Mus musculus: one gene and its partners. The protein of the gene in region 2 interacts with the protein of the main gene of each other region in a pairwise test. Links are inferred from orthologs where the notes say so. Each region holds a gene or a part of one and is shown on either strand. Other genes may lie near its edges.

Region 1 (6,203 bases), on a different chromosome or scaffold from region 2:
AGGCAGCACGGGTGCAGCAGGAAACGCCTGCTCTCAGTCAGGAAGGCAGGAGGCTGCGTGTCCAGCAGAGGAGCATTGCAGTCCAGCAGCTGGCGACGGGCAGCACAAGGGGATTGGCAAGGGGCAAGGGTGAATAAAGAGGCTCGTCTAAGGGCTGAGCCAGTATGAATGCAGGGCTTTATTAAAGGCTTTATAGCAAGGCATTTACATGGTTACAAGCATATTTAAAAGATCACTGGGTATGAATAGAGAGTTAATTTTTCTTCAGTTATATTTGGAAGGTCTTACAAGTCAAGGACTTATAGCACATGAATAATTAAGCAAAAGTGAAGTTCAGAATTTTTTCATGTTTGTAACACTTGGGTTTTTTTAGCTATTTGTAAAGCCATAAATTTGGTGGTTTGTACATGTGTAGTAATAGACTTTAGTGGGATAAATTTGGTGGTTTGTATATGTGTAGTAATAGACTTTAGTGGGATAAATTTGGTGGTTTGTACGTGTGTAGTAATAGACTTTAGTGGGATAAATTTGGTGGTTTGTACGTGTGTAGTAATAGACTTTAGTGGGATAAATTTGGTGGTTTGTACGTGTGTAGTAATAGACTTTAGTGGGATAAATTTGGTGGTTTGTATGTGTGTAGTAATAGACTTTAGTGGGATAAATTTGGTGGTTTGTACATGTGTAGTAATAGACTTTAGTGGGATAAATTTGGTAGTTTGTACGTGTGTAGTAATAGACTTTAGTGGGATAAATTTGGTGGTTTGTATATGTGTAGTAATAGACTTTAGTGGGATGCTGCATTAATATAACCCTGACCACACCACAGAATGAGGATTTGCAAACTAAGTGCTAACTGTCAGACACTACTGTGACTGGCCCCTTTGCCCAATGTCTTCTTACCGTTGATCCTGCTTGTGGCAGATCAGCATACTTCTGCTAAGCAATGGCAGCTGTGATGTGGTGTATCCATGTGGCCTGTCCTCCTCTAGTGCTGGGATTGTAGTAAAAGTGAAGTGCAATACACAAGGAGAGAATGAGACTCAGGTGGGACATGAGGACCTGGGGAGAAGCATAGGAAGTGTCCTTCCCTTAATCACCATCCCCGTTATCTCCCCACTGCCCGATGCGTAGCTTTTCACACAAAGACAGAGTCTATAGTGGAAGCAAATGTAAACGACTCGGAAGCTCTGCAGCGCGCAGCCTGAGTCATAGAGTATCTGTGAGACCTCATGCCACGGCCCTGTAAAGCCAGCTGCTCTAGGGACTGAGGAAAGGAAAGTAAAAGTTCATGCGCTGTTTGTGATGCAGAGTGAGCTCAAGGCCAGCCTGGGCAACTTAAAATCTTGTCTCAGAATCAGAAGTACAGTAAGAGGTTGGGAGCGGGGATGTTGGGAACTCAGAGTGACTGGTTCCTCTCTGCCAGCCGAGGGCACCTCAGGCGAGCATTGGAGAGTCAGAACAGTACATTCCGTGATACAAGTTCCACGTTCATCCTGAGGGATGGGGTGCAACTCAATTTAGACAACATCCAAACTGTGGCGGTATTAGGACGAGTCAGTAAACATACGAGTCAGTAAATATATAATTGAGGCCAAAAAAATGAGTAGCATAAGATACTTGAAAGAAGTAAATAAAAGTAAAATATGCTTGTTTTGGCCAGACTATGTAATATAGTCATAATTTACATTACCTGTATAAACACCCAGCAAGCTGGGCTTTACATAGCTATGAAGCCTATTTAACTTCATGCAACATGGTGGCATGCCAGCTCTCAAAAACTTTGATTTCCATGAATATTAATTGAGACTCAACAAAATGGATCTTTAAAACTTTACGTACAGGCAACTGATTTCTCATACAGCACTTTTTCACTGTCTCCAAGGCATTATTTATATTGGCTGTTGATGTGACTTACCTGAGTGTACACGTGTGTGAGGCATTGCATATCTGAAACCTCGTTCGTAAAGCAGCATGGTCTCCCTCTAGGGAATCATAAGGCAGCATCGACCTCACCTTATCCAAATCATTTTGAAATAAAATATTGTGGAAAAATATATTTCTACCATCTTTGAAATTTTTTATTAGGAATTTATTCAAAAAGGATTGGATTAAAACTTTGCAGTTTTTCATAAATGAAAATTAAATTGTTATTGTATTAAGAGTTTTGAAAGAACATATCCAGAGTTTGCCTAAAGTTGGTTTTGGTAGGCTTTCCTGGTCAGTTCTATGCTTTCTAATCACCACTACCAGCTGAATGACAGGCTTAAAAACCGCACCTTTATGATAAGGCGCTGGCTGCAGAAGTAGTAAGTACTGTCGTCGTGATGGTATCCGTGAGCTGTTGGTATCGAAATCCACAAGCGCCGTATATTAGGAGGCTTATGGTCATCACGTAAGTCATCTTTAGATTGCTTATAATACCTTTATGTTGTCCTGACTGAAGTACAATGACCAAAAAACATTTTGTTCAGTATGAATGCATTTTTTTTCCAAATTATTTTTCTATCTGCAATTGATTTGAGTCCATGGATACCATAAACCATCTGTACCTCTTTTAAGTTGTTTTGTTTTGTTTTTTCCTTGCACACCATCTCGGTTTTTACCTACCCAGGCTACTTTACAGTGCCTGGGGTGCTTAGACAGTCCATAGTTTCTGCCCATCAAGTCAAGGAAACGCTGAGCTTCACCCCCAGTTAACAGGTAGTTTGTTGTGATTAAAATTATGCAGATTTTGCAGCAACAAGTATTGGTGGCTTTGTTTGTTGTAGTGACTGACTGGAAGTTTGGGAAGTGAGTGCTCAGAAAGCCTGACTGGCATGTTAACTGTTACTCGGCACAAGGAACCGTTTCTACTGCTCTGTGTGAATTGACTTGCTTCTCTCGTCATTTTAACAGTTTAAGTGTGCATATTTTACTTCAAAATATTTTTTGTTCCTTTCAGTGTTTGAGCAACACACCTCCACTTACTGAATATTTCCTCAATGATAAGTACCAAGAAGAGCTGAATTTTGACAATCCCTTAGGAATGAGAGGTGAAATAGCTAAATCATACGCTGAACTCATCAAGCAGATGTGGTCTGGAAAGTTTAGCTACGTCACTCCAAGAGCATTCAAGGTTAGTGTGGTAAACTTATTCTCAGCTAGTGTGCTTTTGTCTCCAGAGGATCAACACAACAACAGACTCCTCAGTTGAGAGCTGAGAGTCCCATCGCATTGTCTCCTGGCCTCACAAAGACAGAGACATGGCATTCAGCAAATTTTGCAGCAACAAGTATTGGTGGCTTTGTTTGTTAGTAGTAACTGACTGAAAGTTTGGGAAGTGAGTGACCTGAAAGCCTCGCTTAAGTGTTAACTGTTACTCAGCACAAGGAACCATTTATATTTCTCCTGATTAGGGGTTTTTATTTGGTTTTTGTTTTCTTAATGTCTAGAAATGGGTTGGAGAGGAATGGCTTAGAGTTAAGAGCAATTGCTACACTCCCAGAGGACTAACATGAGGTGGCTCAGAAATGCCTGTGTAACTCACACTGGAGAAGGTCTGACCCCATGGTGTTTGCATTCACGTGTGCGCACATGCTCAGACACGCACAGTTACACTGATGAGGTTCAGAAGGGTCAAGGCTATCTCTGGAAACACTACATGAATGTTTTAAGCTTCACTGGGACATGCCATTAAGTTTATCCTGTGGTTATTGTAGACTGTAAAAAAAAACAAAATCAGAATGAAACGAATTTACAAAACAACTGTCAAATAGTCACTGATTGTATTTTCGATCTGGTTTTTACGCTTGGGTGTTTGTATGTATGAGGGAGTTACTTAGGTCTTAGCCTTAGGGAGAAGTTATTATAAGCCATGGTCTTCACAGGTAAGTGGCATTCCTAGATCATCTGCTAAGGAATATTTTGTTAATCATCTAGCTGTTCCTAAAAAATGAATCAGCGCTGAAGAGATGGCTGTGCTAAGGTTAAGAGCGCTGGCTACTTTTCCAGGGGAGCCGGGCTCAGTTCCCAGCATTTGCATGGTAGCTACCTACCTACCTATGTCTGTAACTCCAGTTCAAGTGGACACCGTATGCAAATGCTGCAAAGACACTGCAGGCAGAACACCAGTTTTCATTCTTCCTAAGTTATTTCCATAAAGGGAAATGAACAGATGAACAAATACAGAAGCACATTCTAGGGAAGGGCAAGATTCGAGTCCCTCGAGCCTTGTCACATTGTCATCAGTCACTGACTCGGGGTTTAGTGTATGGGTAACATGCTAATCCTGACTTCACAACCAACCCTATATATAACTCACTGCTTAACAAGATGCATCTAATTGTATTTTCCCTGTAAAGTACATGACTACCCCTGTGTTTATGAATTCTAGATGACACCTTAGCGCTCTGCGTGAGAACGGTTTCAAGCACTAGCTAGCCTGGCAGGAAACCACCCACGTATAAAGAAGAAAACACTAAGAAAATGACAAAACGATGCTGAAACTTCAAGGCAGTATAGCTCGCTCACGTTCTTCCCAGAGGGTTTACTGGAACACTTTGAGATGGTTTCAGTGTATCACAGCTTGGGGGCATAGAAGTAATTTATAGTAAACTGAGAGCAAGCATGTGCTTTTTCAGGAGCCTGTCTCTAGCCGGTTGTGTGACTTTGTGTCTTACAGACACAGGTAGGGCGCTTCGCACCTCAGTTCTCTGGATATCAACAGCAGGACTGCCAAGAACTACTGGCTTTCCTGTTGGATGGACTGCACGAGGACCTGAATAGAATTAGGAAAAAACCCTATATCCAGTTAAAAGATGCTGATGGCAGGCCAGACAAGGTAAATGAATGAGCGTTCTGGCGTTAGTGTCTTCATCGTTACAGTCTTCTGACACCTCGTAGTAACTCTGTTCCTTTCCTCTGTAGGTGGTTGCTGAAGAAGCCTGGGAGAACCATTTAAAGCGAAATGATTCCATCATAGTAGACATATTCCATGGCCTTTTCAAGTCTACGTTAGTGTGTCCTGAGTGTGCTAAGATCTCGGTGACCTTTGACCCTTTCTGTTACTTGACTCTTCCATTGCCTATGAAAAAAGAACGTAGCTTGGAAGTTTATTTAGTTAGAATGGATCCACTTGCTAAACCTATGCAAGTAAGTAATGACTCCTTTCTTTACATTTGGTATTGTAACTTCTTGATGGGACGATTTTAACATTTATTGGTTTCTCCAGCACTAATAAAATGTATTAGATAATAGATTTTATAAGCTAAATACTCTGGAAGTTGCACCTGTTTAGAATTTGAGAAGTTAAAGGATATCATAGAAAAATAAATTTAATCAAATTTCTTTGTCACATCAAAGACAGCTAAGATATTTGTTTTATAATTTGGGATGGATAGCCGCTTTAAAAAAAATAGTAGTATTATTGTCTATATTTTTTTCTATCAATAAATTTTAAGTGTATTTATTTTATATGTTATGGGTATTTTGCCTGTATATTGCTCTGTACCATGAGTACCATGAGTTTTTGGATCCCCTGGGCCTGGAGTATTAGATGGCTGTGTGCTCCCACGTGCGTGCTGAGAGTGGCTCCTGGCTCTTGAGGAGGAGCGGCCAGTGCTCGTAACCACTGAATCGTCTTCTAGTCCTCCCCTAGTCAAATTCTTTATGCTGTAGGTTTTTTCCTGGTCACTTTCAAAAGTAAAGCTACTGTTGTATTTTGCTTATGTGTTTATTGTTGTCTATGTATGTGTCTGTTATGTATTTATTATCTATTATATTTATTGTAAGTCATGATATGATCATACAGAAGTGGAAATAACCTTCAGGCATTCCAAAATTTTGATGAGAAATAAAAAATTGGTATAAAAATACTTGGTTCAGGACCGGCAGGATTCCTCAGTGAGGTAAAGGCAGTCGCTGCCAAACCTGACAGGCTTGAGCTCAGTCGCTCACTCACGGGCGGTAGGAGAGAACCTGCTCCCACAGTTCCACTCTGACTCCCGCACTTGTGGCGTCGCATGCACGTAGGCACGGTTAGCAAACCTTACGAGTGAGCGCTTGTTCGGTGGTTGTTCTGGCCTTTAGTATTAGGCTTTGCTTATTCTGTGCAAGGTCCCTGTGCTGCACGTTAATGTCAGCTGATGCCTGATGCCTTTGCCGTGTGCTGTCACTGGCTTCCTCAGTGTTTTGTGAGAAAAAAGCTACATTTTCTGTTTCTAAAT
Region 2 (5,235 bases):
TTCTATGTATTTTGATCATATCTACACGCCTCATGTCCCAAATCCATGCTCTTTCCTACCCTACTTTGTATTGTTCCTCCTCCTCCTCCTCTCCACTCCTCCTCTTTAGAAGATTAAGGAACTCCACATAAAACCAGAGACACTGAAACTTATAGAGGAGAAAGTAGGGAAAAGCCTCGAAGATATGGGTACAGGGGAAAAATTCCTGAATAGAACAGCAATGGCTTGTGCTGTAAGATCAAGAATCGATAAATGGGACCTCATAAAATTGCAAAGCTTCTGCAAAGCAAAAGACACCGTCAATAAGACAAAAAGGCCACCAACAGATTGGGAAAGGATCTTTACCTATCCCAAATCGGATAGGGGACTAATATCCAATATATATAAAGAACTCAAGAAGGTGGACTCCAGAAAATCAAATAACCCCATTAAAAAATGGGGCTCAGAGCTGAACAAAGAATTCTCACCTGAGGAATACTGAATGGCAGAGAAGCACCTGAAAAAATGTTCAACATCCTTAATCATCAGGGAAATGCAAATCAAAACAACACTGAGATTCCACTTCACTCCAGTCAGAATGGCTAAGATCAAAAACTCAGGTGACAGCAGATGCTGGCGAGGATGTGGAGAAAGGGGAACACTCCTCCATTGTTGGTGGGATTGCAAGCTTGTATAACCACTCTGGAAATCAGTCTGGCGGTTCCTCAGAAAATTGGACATAGTACTACCGGAGGATCCAGCAATACCTCTCCTGGGCATATATCCAGAAGATGTCCCAACCGGTAAGAAGAACACATGCTCCACTATGTTCATAGCAGCCTTGTTTATAATATCCAGAAGCTGGAAAGAACCCAGATGCCCCTCAACAGAGGAATGGATACAGAAAATGTGGTACATTTACACAATGGAGTACTACTCAGCTATTAAAAAAATGAATTTATGAAATTCCTAGGCAAATGGATGGACCTGGAGGGTATCATCCTGAGTGAAGTAATCCAATCACAAAGGAACTCGCACAATATGTACTCACTGATAAGTGGATATTAGCCCAGAAACTTAGGATACCCAAGATATAAGATACAACTTGCCAAACGCATGAAATCCAAGAAGAACGAAGACCAAAGTGTGGACACTTTACCCTTTCTTAGAAATGGGAACAAAACACCCATGGAAGGAGTTACAGAGACAAAATTTGGAGCTGTGACGAAAGGATGGACCATCTAGTGATTGCCATATGCAGGGATCTATCCCATAATCAGCTCCCAAACACTGACACCATTGCATACACTAGCAAGATTTCGCTGAAAGGACCCAGATATAGCTCTCTCTTGTGAGACTATGCCGGGGCCTAGCAAACACAGAAGTGGATGACCACAGTCAGCTATTGAATGGGTCACACGGCCCCTAATGGAGGAGCTAGAGAAATTACCCAAGGAGCTAAAGGGAACTGCAACCCTATAGGTGGAACAACAATATGAACTAACCAGTACCCGGGAGCTCTTGTCTTTAGCTGCATATGTATCAAAAGATGGCCTAGTCGGCCATCACTGCAAAGAGAGGCCCATTGGACTTGCAAACTTTATATGCCCCAGTACAGGGGAACACCAGGACCAAAAAGGGGGAGTGGGTGGGTAGGGGATTGGGGGGGTGGGTATGGGGGACCTTTGGGATAGCATTGAAAATGTAAACGAGGAAAATACCTAAAAAAAAAAAAAAAAAAAAGAAGTAACCCACCAGGCACTGTTTATGCTGCCTATACACTCCTGAAGATGGGGCTTTCACTGGGGGAGGGCCCATACCCTGAAAGCAAGCTGACTCTCCTTCTCCCAGCAACTGCCCAAAGCTCTTTAGCCAGGGGAGGGACTCTGTGCCCATCTCTCTCTCTGCTGCAATTTTGTCCGGCCTGAGCCAGTACAGATGTTTCTTTAATTCTTTGTGTTTGTTAATTTGAAAGGTGGCGGTAGAATGAAAGAAGCTCAGGAAAATCAACAGGCTTTATTTGATCTTAAAAGACATATTATTCAGAATTGGAACCAATACTTGGAGATCTTTCTCAAGGTAACTTTTATGTAACAAAGACACTTGTATCCAGACCATTTGTTATTGGCTATGGGGGAAAGCTGAGATAGTATGAAACCTCCCAATTCCATTCAGTGGAGAATAAGGGGTTTATTAACTATGTAACATAAATCTCCAGGTAGTATTTTTGAAGCTTTCAAAATATTTGTATACTAGTTCAGCTACTAATTTCACTTTCTTCAAGGCAATGGAATCAGAAACCAACATATCCACAAAATGACAGCAGGCAGTGTCTGAGCACAGCTGTTGTAGCCTTGTGAGAGTCAACAGCAGGGGTTCACTGACCAGACCCAGCACAGCACCCAGACTTTGGCTATCACTGGGGATACTGAGCATACTGTCAGTGTAACATTCAGCTCTTGTCTGAACCACTTTCACTACTTTATCCTGGCTTTCATTTGTTCCCATAGAAGATATTCTTGACCTGGGTTTACAGAAGAAGTGCATAGAGCATTCCAGGGAGGGAAAACAAACAAACAACGAACAATAAAACCCTAAAATCCCCCAGTAACAACAAAACAACAAACCAAACCAGAAGATGTATAATGTTAAGACATATGTATGCATATATATATATATATATATATATATATATATATATTTTACCAATAATAACTGAACAGGATAGTTCAAGCACAATTTCTAGGAAGTCCTTCTGCAAGCCACAAAAGATATAGGAGTAGACAGGTATCTAGCCAAAGGTAACAACCAAGGACAGAGAAAACAAAGGAAGTCACATAAAGGCAGAAATGTTTGTTTGTCTTTTAGATGAGTTTGGGTCCAATGTGAGGAGTCTGTTTCATTGAGGAATCATTGCGGAATCTATGTCAGGTATATTGATGGTGAAGGTCATTTGACATTGACTTTCAGTTATGTCCAGCTGATACCTTCATCCTGGGACCCTGACTCCTTTAAAGAGATGAGGGTTTAGGGTAGTTCCAACTAGATGGGTCAAAATGACCAAGTGCATGGCTGAAGAACACCAACAGGAAGTGAGCAGCAGTATCCAGAAATGGTCCCCAGGAGTCACTGGATCTTGATCAGGACAGGGAGGAGGTAAGTGTCCGGGAAGTACCGTCAGTAGGCACTGGCTCCTGACCATCACATCTTTAGTGGACAGAGCTTTAGAGGCGCTGCATTTCCCCCACTATAATTGAAACCAACATTGAAGAAAGGTCGCAGAGGTCCAGCAAAAACACACTCCGAGAAGGTGTAAATGAGGGAGCCATGGTCAGTTATGTTGTAGAAGGAGACAACGCCAGCCTCATAGTCCACAAAGATCCCAATTTGGCATGGAGGTACTTGAATGTGGAGGGTGGTCTGAGGACTGGTACCAGCCTCATAGCTGTCTTGCCATAACCAAATGGTCCAGAAGCCATTCTCGGGACTGAGTGAAAACTGCCCTTTCCTCTGAACAGAATCTCTGCAAACCCCCAGATCCCAGGCCTCCTTTTGAGTCACATCTACCTCCCAGTACATCTTCCCAGAGGAGAATCTCTGGGCACCTAGCACCATGGGGTAATTACTAAACCTCTCCTCATTGTCAGACACGTTCTGATGGGTGTCTCCCATCCTCACTTGTCTCCGATCCTTTGAGATGATGAGCCATGAGTTGGCGGTGTTGCGATCCAGAGTAATATGAACTGCAGAAAGAAGATCATAAGTAAGACTGGATGCATGAGGCCAGCTGCTCTTTGCCTAGAGTGAGGAGATCCATTTAAACTCAAAGGTGAGGGGTGACCCTGAATCTCATCATGTGAGGAAATGACCCACAGTTACTCTTGCCCTTCCTCTGACATGTGAGGAAACTTCATCTATGTCTTCTGCTCCACCTGTACCACTTGCCACCTCTTCCACACATTACCACCCTGGGTTCCTCATGACTGTCCACTCCACACTCTCATTATCCCTTTCTGTCTAGCCCACAATTCCTAGATGTCGCCTTACCCCAACATGTCCTCAGCATCTTCTTCCGCCCTGGCACAGGGCATGTGCTTGTTAGGTCTGGGGCGTCAATATCTAACGTGTCCAGGTTCCAGGATCCACTCCTAGGGAAAGAGTTTGAGAATCTTACTTCCTGCTCCTATCTTCTACCTTAGGCCCCAGTGCTCTCCTTCATGGACGGCTCAATAATTAAACTCAATACCAATATACAAATACACATGCATTCAATGTCCACAGGAAAGGAAAAAAAAGTTCCTATCTAGGAGTTCCAAGTTCTAGGAATCTCAAATAAATCTCCATCTCTTTCCAGAGCCCAAAGTCATGGCCTTGTGGATTTTATTTAATTTTACAGCAAACCATCTAACAGGTGGAATGACTTCTGTGAAGAACTTGGAGGACTCTTGGCCATGCTGTCGGTTTTACTCATTACTTATGAATGTCTTTCCGTAGGAGAGTTCTAGCAGACTCAGATTACCACTTTCTGGTGGGAGACTTTTAATGTACAAAGATGATTGATATTCATCGGGCAATTCATCATTTGATATGTTCATTAGCCATTTGAAAGCAGAGAACGTCTTAGAGTGGACCAGGTTTCTATGCACACATGCTTCCTGGTCCCTTTCCTTACCTTTCCAGGATGATCCTCACCTCCTGAGGAGAGAAGAGACAGACAGTCAACTCTGGAGTTTCTGACTGACCACTGAGATGCCATTCCTGGGGCCATGTGACATCGCCCTTGGGTAAGGCCCCAAAGATAACTCTGACAAACCGTTACCAGAAATGGCATGTGATGGCTCACAGAATATCTAGGAAGCCAACGTGGTTATGGCCTTTAGCCATGACCAGGGATTTAAAGACTGACAGAGAAAGAGACTTACAAGGGCTGGGTTCTTGGAGGAGCGGGGCTGGCCATGGAGCCAGTAGAAGAGGAAGATAAACAACAGAACCCGACTGAAGCCGGGAGGTAGCTTCAGGCAGAGAATGGCTTAGGTAGATGTCCAGAGAGGTTCCCTGCTATTTTTGGGCTTGAACTGTTTGTGGAGGAATGGCTAGTTGGTTAAAAGCTTTGTCCTGTGCTGTGGCTAATCCTCTTCACTATTTAGAGTGAGTTCAAGTGAGACTATTCATTCTCAGGCAGTGACAGCCATAACATTTGAACTGGCAGCCTCCTAGGCTCCTTAAAAAGGCACCAGGAAGCTCAGTTCAGTGACA
Region 3 (6,203 bases), on a different chromosome or scaffold from region 2:
GGCTCCGGACTCCTAAATTCTTGTTTCTCCATAAGCAGCTCAGAGCCTGGGGCTTGGAGAGTTTTGCAGGGGAATGTTCTTGGATCCCATGGGAGAACTGGGGGACAGGGCATGGGGCCAGGAGTTCTAGAACTTTCCAACCTGTCAGCTGGGAAATCTTCAGGCTGGGCAGTGTAATAGTCATGGCTGTATGTGGCTTGTCTTGTCCTTTCTGCCACTTGCCCATAGCTGCCCCTGTTTCCCAGCTAAGGAAGGCTAGGCTGTCTGGGAAGGGGCCTCTATGTCACCATCCCACACTGCTCATCAGTACTCCACCCTGTCCCTAAACCCAAGAGCTGAATTCTGGAAAAGAGGCAGCATGGACTGGACTCCTGGTGTCTGCAGTATGTCCTAGTATGTGTCTTTTTACCTATTCCCATCTCTATGGCGAATATCCCTTGCTGGGCAGTACTTTGTGACCCCGACCCCAACCCCCACTGTGCTATGCCTGGTCCCTGCATCAGAAAACTCAAGGTCTTAGTCAGGCCAGTCTCGCTCAGCAAGTTTTTCCTGCCTAGTGGCAGCAGCAGCATCTGAGAGGGGAGCCAAGGTTGGGTGGGCAGGAGCCCATGCTCCCATTTTCCCAGCTGAGGCTTACATGGGCCAGATCTAGGCGCTCACCGCTCTGTCCACTGGGGAACAAAAGGAGAGCAAAGTTGGCCCTGCAGCACACAGGGAGAACAGGGATGACCTCGGAAGGCCCTGGGCGATGGGGAGATAGTTCCCTGCCAGGTTTCTGCCTCTCAGAAAATGGTTCACTAGGACACTTGAGCTCACTAGCAAATTTCTCGCCACTCAGAGTGTTGGTTTCCTTACCTGCACACTGGGATCTGGCAGCCCAGCCCTGCTCATATTCCCCAGCCCCCATTATTTGCTAAACCTGTGCTTTTCATCACTGGAGCAGCACACAGGGAACAAGGACCTTTGTCCTATTCTGTGGTGCTCCCAGGGACAGGACCTGGGTCACAGTGGGTGCTCCGTGTGGCACCGTTCTGATGGTATAGACAAGTGTGTGCTAGCTCCAAAGTACCAGTTTGGTGGTATAGACAAGTGTGTGCTATAACTCCAAGGCACTCATGGCCAGAAAGGAAGCAAGACACTTTAATTGAGATCTATCTCCCATCAGCCATGAGAGAAGGGTCTCAGGGGCCTGGATAGAAATATGAAGGGAAAGTTAGGCAGACAGGTACCAGCCAATGGGCTCAAGGGGGTCACCTCTCTGAAAGCTGCTCAATGAACTGGCTGTGGCTACTGGCACTGTTCAGCACCCAAGGTGCATAAAACTACCTGTGACAACTTTGTGGTTCTTGGCATGAACTTGTGGGAGACTCATGCCAGGGAGGGTGGAGGGTTGTCAGGTTGACCTCATCATCACAGGTGAGGGATGACCACCAAGACAGGACCAGAACCTGACTGAAGTCATACATTAGTCCCAAGCAAAGACAGGAGGAGACTACCAATATGTCCCCAACCAATATGTCTTCCAGAGAGCCCTAGGCAAGAGCAATGGGGCCAGAAGTGGCCTCTGAACAGGGGGCTCCCCTTCAGGTCCACCTTGGGCCGCAGTGTGCATCCAGATCACAGCTCAGTTCGTATCAATGCCTACTTCATGGATAGAGAAGCTGAGGTTCCCAGGATAACGTGCCTGGATTTCAAGGCTAGGGGGGGTGGGAGCTGGGACTCCCATTTTGGGAGTCAGTTTCAAGATCTCTGGCCCAGCCTAGGAGGAAGCAAGGGTGGAGATGGCCACCTGGTGGCCCTAAGTGCAATCGCAGGGCTGAGCTGGGGAAGCTCTGGCCAGCCAGGCCTAATGTGGGTGGGTGCTCTAGGACTTCTTGAGAAGGGACTGGTGGGTGTGTGCCAGGGTTTCTTTACGCATCGTGCGTTGGCTGAGCTTGCCTACTGAAAACCTATTCCAGCACACTGCCATCTCCCCTTCTGGTCAGGCTTGTTAACATCCAAACAGACCTCACTGTACGACCTCTGATCAGATCTTGACGCACACTGTTTCCCGTGCCTGGCACCCCTCAGACCCCAGCAGAGCTCCCACACATGCTTAAGGCTGGACTCTGCTGCCCCGTCTCGTCTCGGAGTGTGTCCTCTGTGGACTTCCTTCCGCACCTGCTCATGGTGGAACTTCTGGGTCTATGTGTATCCCATACTTCTGCCCTTCTGCCCCTGTCCCAGGGTGGCTAGCCAGGACCACCCTCTAAGGGCTGCCAAGGCAGCCTGGGTCTGTGGGGAGCTCAAGAGGAGTGGGACGGGACAGGTTCCTCTCTGCTCCTACTCTGGGCCTGATCTGTGCCGGGTGCCCCTGTTTGGCTAGGTGACCTTGGGTCTTTGGGAAGCTTCCAGGAGTTACTAAGGCTGGGCTATCCTCCTGGTGGTGTCATCCCTAGGAGTCACTTTCTGCTGTGACCTGTAGGGAGTTAAGGGATGTCCAGGCCAGACTCGGGTAGAGAACCTTCCTGTACATATGGTACCAGATAGGCAAGGAAGCTGGAGAAGGTGTGGGGGACCCTCGTGGAGTAGCCAATGGCTGCTGCATGGTTACGGTGGCTGCTAAGCAGCTGCAGGAGACAGAACACATGATGATGCATCGGGCTGTGGCCTTAGAGCAGTAGCCCCAGCCTGGTGTGGGTCTTATAGCTCCACGGGCAATCAGAACGGAGAGGAAGGACGGCAGTCCACAGGAGCTGCAGGGTCTTCACACATTGCCCTGATCCTCAGTATGCTGTTGTGGAAAGCCACTGACCAAAGGTCAAGTGTGGCCTGGGAGCAAGCATTCTTGAAGAGCCATAGGCAGGCCACACCTTCCTCTGTCCCTTTAGCACAGTAGCATGTCGAATTCCACTACTCCAGACACAATCAGGAGACAGAGTCCTAAGCCATGCCACCAGGCCCTGACCCCACTCTCTTCCTCCTGCTTCGTGTTACCTCCCCCCAAAAGTCCCTCCTCCTCCTCACAGCCAGCAGGGGGGGGCTGCTATGGATGGAACTTCATCATCCCCTTCCGTACCCCTCATACCCCTCGTGACTTCCTGCTGCTCTGAGAGAAAGCCCAAGCTGTGTACCAGTCCTCTGCCCTATGGTCCCCCTCTCTCTGAGTGTGACTCTGCTGCCCTCAGCCCCTTCTGCTTTGCCAGACTGAGGAGCCACCGTGTTCATCCTAGTAAGCCACCGCACAGTCCCCAGTCCAGCACCCCTGCTTTGGCTCTTGTTGCCAGGCGCTATCTTATAAGGTGTGAGTTTCTCCTTATGAAGTTAATACAGCCTTCTGCTTTAGGTCGACTGACTCATTCTTCCAATGACCTATTTTATCTGTGTGGAAACAGGCTCAGCAGGGTTAAGTAACTGGTCCTGTGCCACACAGCCACAAAGTGACAACATCAGAATTAGAAGTACCTGGCCTCAGAGTCTGTGCTCTCAACACAGACAACATTGTCATCAAGTGGGACCCTGTTGGCAGAACTTTCTGGTCACCAGCCTAGGGCCTCATTGGGCATCCTCCCCTACTCTCTAACCAAGAAACCTCCACACTTGCTTGCTGAGCCCTTTACCCAGCCAGTGGCTCTGCCAGGCCTGCCCCACCCCCCTGCTCCCACCCACTCCGCCCTGGAGCTCACTTCACAGAGACGGAGAACTCGCCAGGGGAACTCTCACTCTCCCTGATCAGGAAGGCTCCTAGGTGGTTGCGTTTCATCAGAGTCTCTTCAGCCAGCTGTCGAGAGATCCTGCCCGAGTACCACCTGTGGGGAGAGGGGGACCGTGTCTGGAGGTATCCGTAAGGTCGATGGCAGGGCTGGCCCTCATTCCCTCTTCAAAGGTATCACTGTGACCATTTTACACTCGAGGAAATTGAGAAATAGGGAAAAAAAAATCAAGGTCACATAGGAGAGGCAAATCAGAGTTGAGGCAATCTGTCCCTGCTGTCCGTACCAGGCCAGGCAAACCCACACCCAAGACAGAAAAACCAGAGTCAGGTGCTTCACCAGCCGGCACGCCTGTCTGGCTTGTAGATGGAGATTATCTTTCTTTTTTAATATTCATTTTCATTATTGTTTTAAATTATATGTATTATATATAAGGGGTGGGGTATGTGTATGTGAGTCCAGAAGAGGGTGTCAGGTCTCCCAGAGAGGGAGTTACAGGTGGTTGTGAGCTGCCAGATGTAGGTGCTAGGAACCAGACATGGATCCCCTGCAAGAGCAGTATGCACTCTCAAAACTATTTATTTCTGTGTGGGCGCATACATGTTCAGGAATGTACATACTACATATATGTAGACCAGAGGATAACCAGTCAGTTCTCCCCTTCCACCATTCACATCCTGGGCACTGAAATCAAGTCACTGGGCTTGGTGAGAAGTGCCTTTAATCACTGAGCCGTCTCACTAGCCCAGTACAGATTTTTAAAAGTTAAAAAAGCGTAAAATTGTGCTAGGATGTGAGTCAGTGGAGTGCTAGCCTAGCGAGTGCGACACTCCACGTTCGTCCTCGGCACCACAAATAAGTATGGGTGACATCAATAATAGTGGCCTCCCTCCCTGCCTTGTGTCCCTCCCGAGTAGGAGCAGACTTGGAACAGAACTGCACCCGCTAGGTCTTGGGACTCTTGCAAGGCCAGAGCAGCCTCTCCTGGGGTCCTTCCTGTCTGCTGGGCTAGCCAGCTTCTGCAGCGAGGCCTCAAGGCCCTTTCCAGCCAGCCGCTCGCTTACTGACCCCAGGGCATTGTATTGAGTCCTAGGCTAGAGCGCTGGGCCTAGAAGGATTCTTTGGGAGGTGGTGGTGGTGGGGTCCCCAGGAACGGGAGGCTGCCTGCCATGCCTGGACATAGCTCCAAAATCTACATTGGAACTTGGTCTCAGTGGTGGCTATTTTTGGTTGTCAACTTGACTACATCTGGAATTAACTAAAGCCCCCAAGTAGAGGGCATACTTGTGAGAGAGCTTTGCTTAATCCAAAGTGGAAAGATCTACTTCTGATCTGAATCTCTGAGGCAGGAAGACTTTTAATCCAGGTCTTTGGAACTAGGGTAACCCGACCTCTAATCTGGGCCACACCTACGGAAAGCCTATATAAAGATATGGAGGAAGATGGCTTGGCTCTCTGCCTGCTTGCCATTGACTTGCTAGCAAGTCCATTCCTTCATTGATTGGCATCAGAGCCTGCTTCTGCAGGATTCCAGTGTGTCCTGAATCAGCTGAGACATCCAGCTTTGTGGACTGAGCAACTACTGGATTCTTGGACTTTCTGGTCATAGCCAGCCATTGTTAGATTAACTGGAAGAGATGGAGAGGGAGAGCGAGAGAGGAGAGAGAAATGAGAGAGAGTGTGAGAGAGAACCCTAATACAGTCTCTACAGCAGAGGCGAGAAGTGGGAACACTGGGTGACAGGGTCATGGGGGGATTGGTCTAATAGGCCGTGAGTTACGGAGGAAGGGTTCACCTGCTTGAAGGGCAGTTGAAGGAAGTTCTAAATCTCAGTTCTCACCACTCCATCTTTGACTCTACTATGTTGCTTCTTGTACTGGGGTGGAAACTGAAACCCAGGGAGGACCGAGGTCTCCCGAGAAGCTGCTTAGGGAGTCTGAGGTTCACCCCCACACAGCTGCTCTCATGGACTTTCTGTCCCTCTCTGGTGGCTCATGAAGGGCCTCCACCACCAGCTGCAATCCCAGTCTACTTCTTGCAGGCTAAGTGATCCTGGACAAGGCACCCAGTCTCTCTGTGTCTCTGCTGGTCTATAAGGTGATGGATGGGTTTGTCATTGTTTGTTTGTTCGTTCGTTCGTTTGTTTCTGAGACAGGATTTCTCTGTGTAGCCTTGGCTGTCCTAGAATTTGCTCTGTAAACTGGGCTGGCCTCAAACTCAAGACATCCATCTGCCTCTACCTACCAAGGGTTGGGATTAAAGGTGTGTGCCACCGCCGCCCAGCCTATAAGATGATGTTAATAGTTCCCACCTAGGCAGGCAGTGGGCAGCTATAGTAACAGCTGAAGGTGTTTCTACCTCCCACTTTCGTAACATGATGCATACCCCACCTCCCACACATCCCTGGGCCTGTTTCTGACATCCCTGGCAAACTTCTGTTTGAACCTGCAGGCTCAGGGGCTTTTCCTGTTGCTGAGGAGCCCTCCCTGCCCCTACAATCACCTCCCTGCC

What was found. The genes of interacting proteins can lie anywhere in the genome.
Region 1: the proteins of Trim21 (region 2) and Usp15 interact in binary tests that used the Homo sapiens proteins (3 or more experiments, as listed by UniProt). The link is inferred for Mus musculus from reciprocal best matches to the Homo sapiens genes TRIM21 and USP15.
Region 3: the proteins of Trim21 (region 2) and Grap interact in binary tests that used the Homo sapiens proteins (3 or more experiments, as listed by UniProt). The two-hybrid records come from large-scale screens. The link is inferred for Mus musculus from reciprocal best matches to the Homo sapiens genes TRIM21 and GRAP.

The regions. Positions count from the first base shown.
Region 1 is NC_000076.6:123,129,868-123,136,070, reverse strand, and holds part of Usp15 (ubiquitin carboxyl-terminal hydrolase 15), read left to right. Parts: intron 1-2,941; coding exon 2,942-3,115; intron 3,116-4,660; coding exon 4,661-4,819; intron 4,820-4,905; coding exon 4,906-5,130; intron 5,131-6,203. UniProt on the Homo sapiens protein: Hydrolase that removes conjugated ubiquitin from target proteins and regulates various pathways such as the TGF-beta receptor signaling, NF-kappa-B and RNF41/NRDP1-PRKN pathways.
Region 2 is NC_000073.6:102,555,942-102,561,176, forward strand, and holds the end of Trim21 (E3 ubiquitin-protein ligase TRIM21), read right to left. Parts: intron 4,675-5,235; coding exon 4,652-4,674; intron 4,128-4,651; coding exon 4,027-4,127; intron 3,723-4,026; coding exon 3,181-3,722; 3' UTR 1,979-3,180; downstream 1-1,978. UniProt on the Homo sapiens protein: E3 ubiquitin-protein ligase whose activity is dependent on E2 enzymes, UBE2D1, UBE2D2, UBE2E1 and UBE2E2.
Region 3 is NC_000077.6:61,661,770-61,667,972, reverse strand, and holds part of Grap (GRB2-related adapter protein), read right to left. Parts: intron 3,789-6,203; coding exon 3,666-3,788; intron 1-3,665. UniProt on the Homo sapiens protein: Couples signals from receptor and cytoplasmic tyrosine kinases to the Ras signaling pathway. Plays a role in the inner ear and in hearing.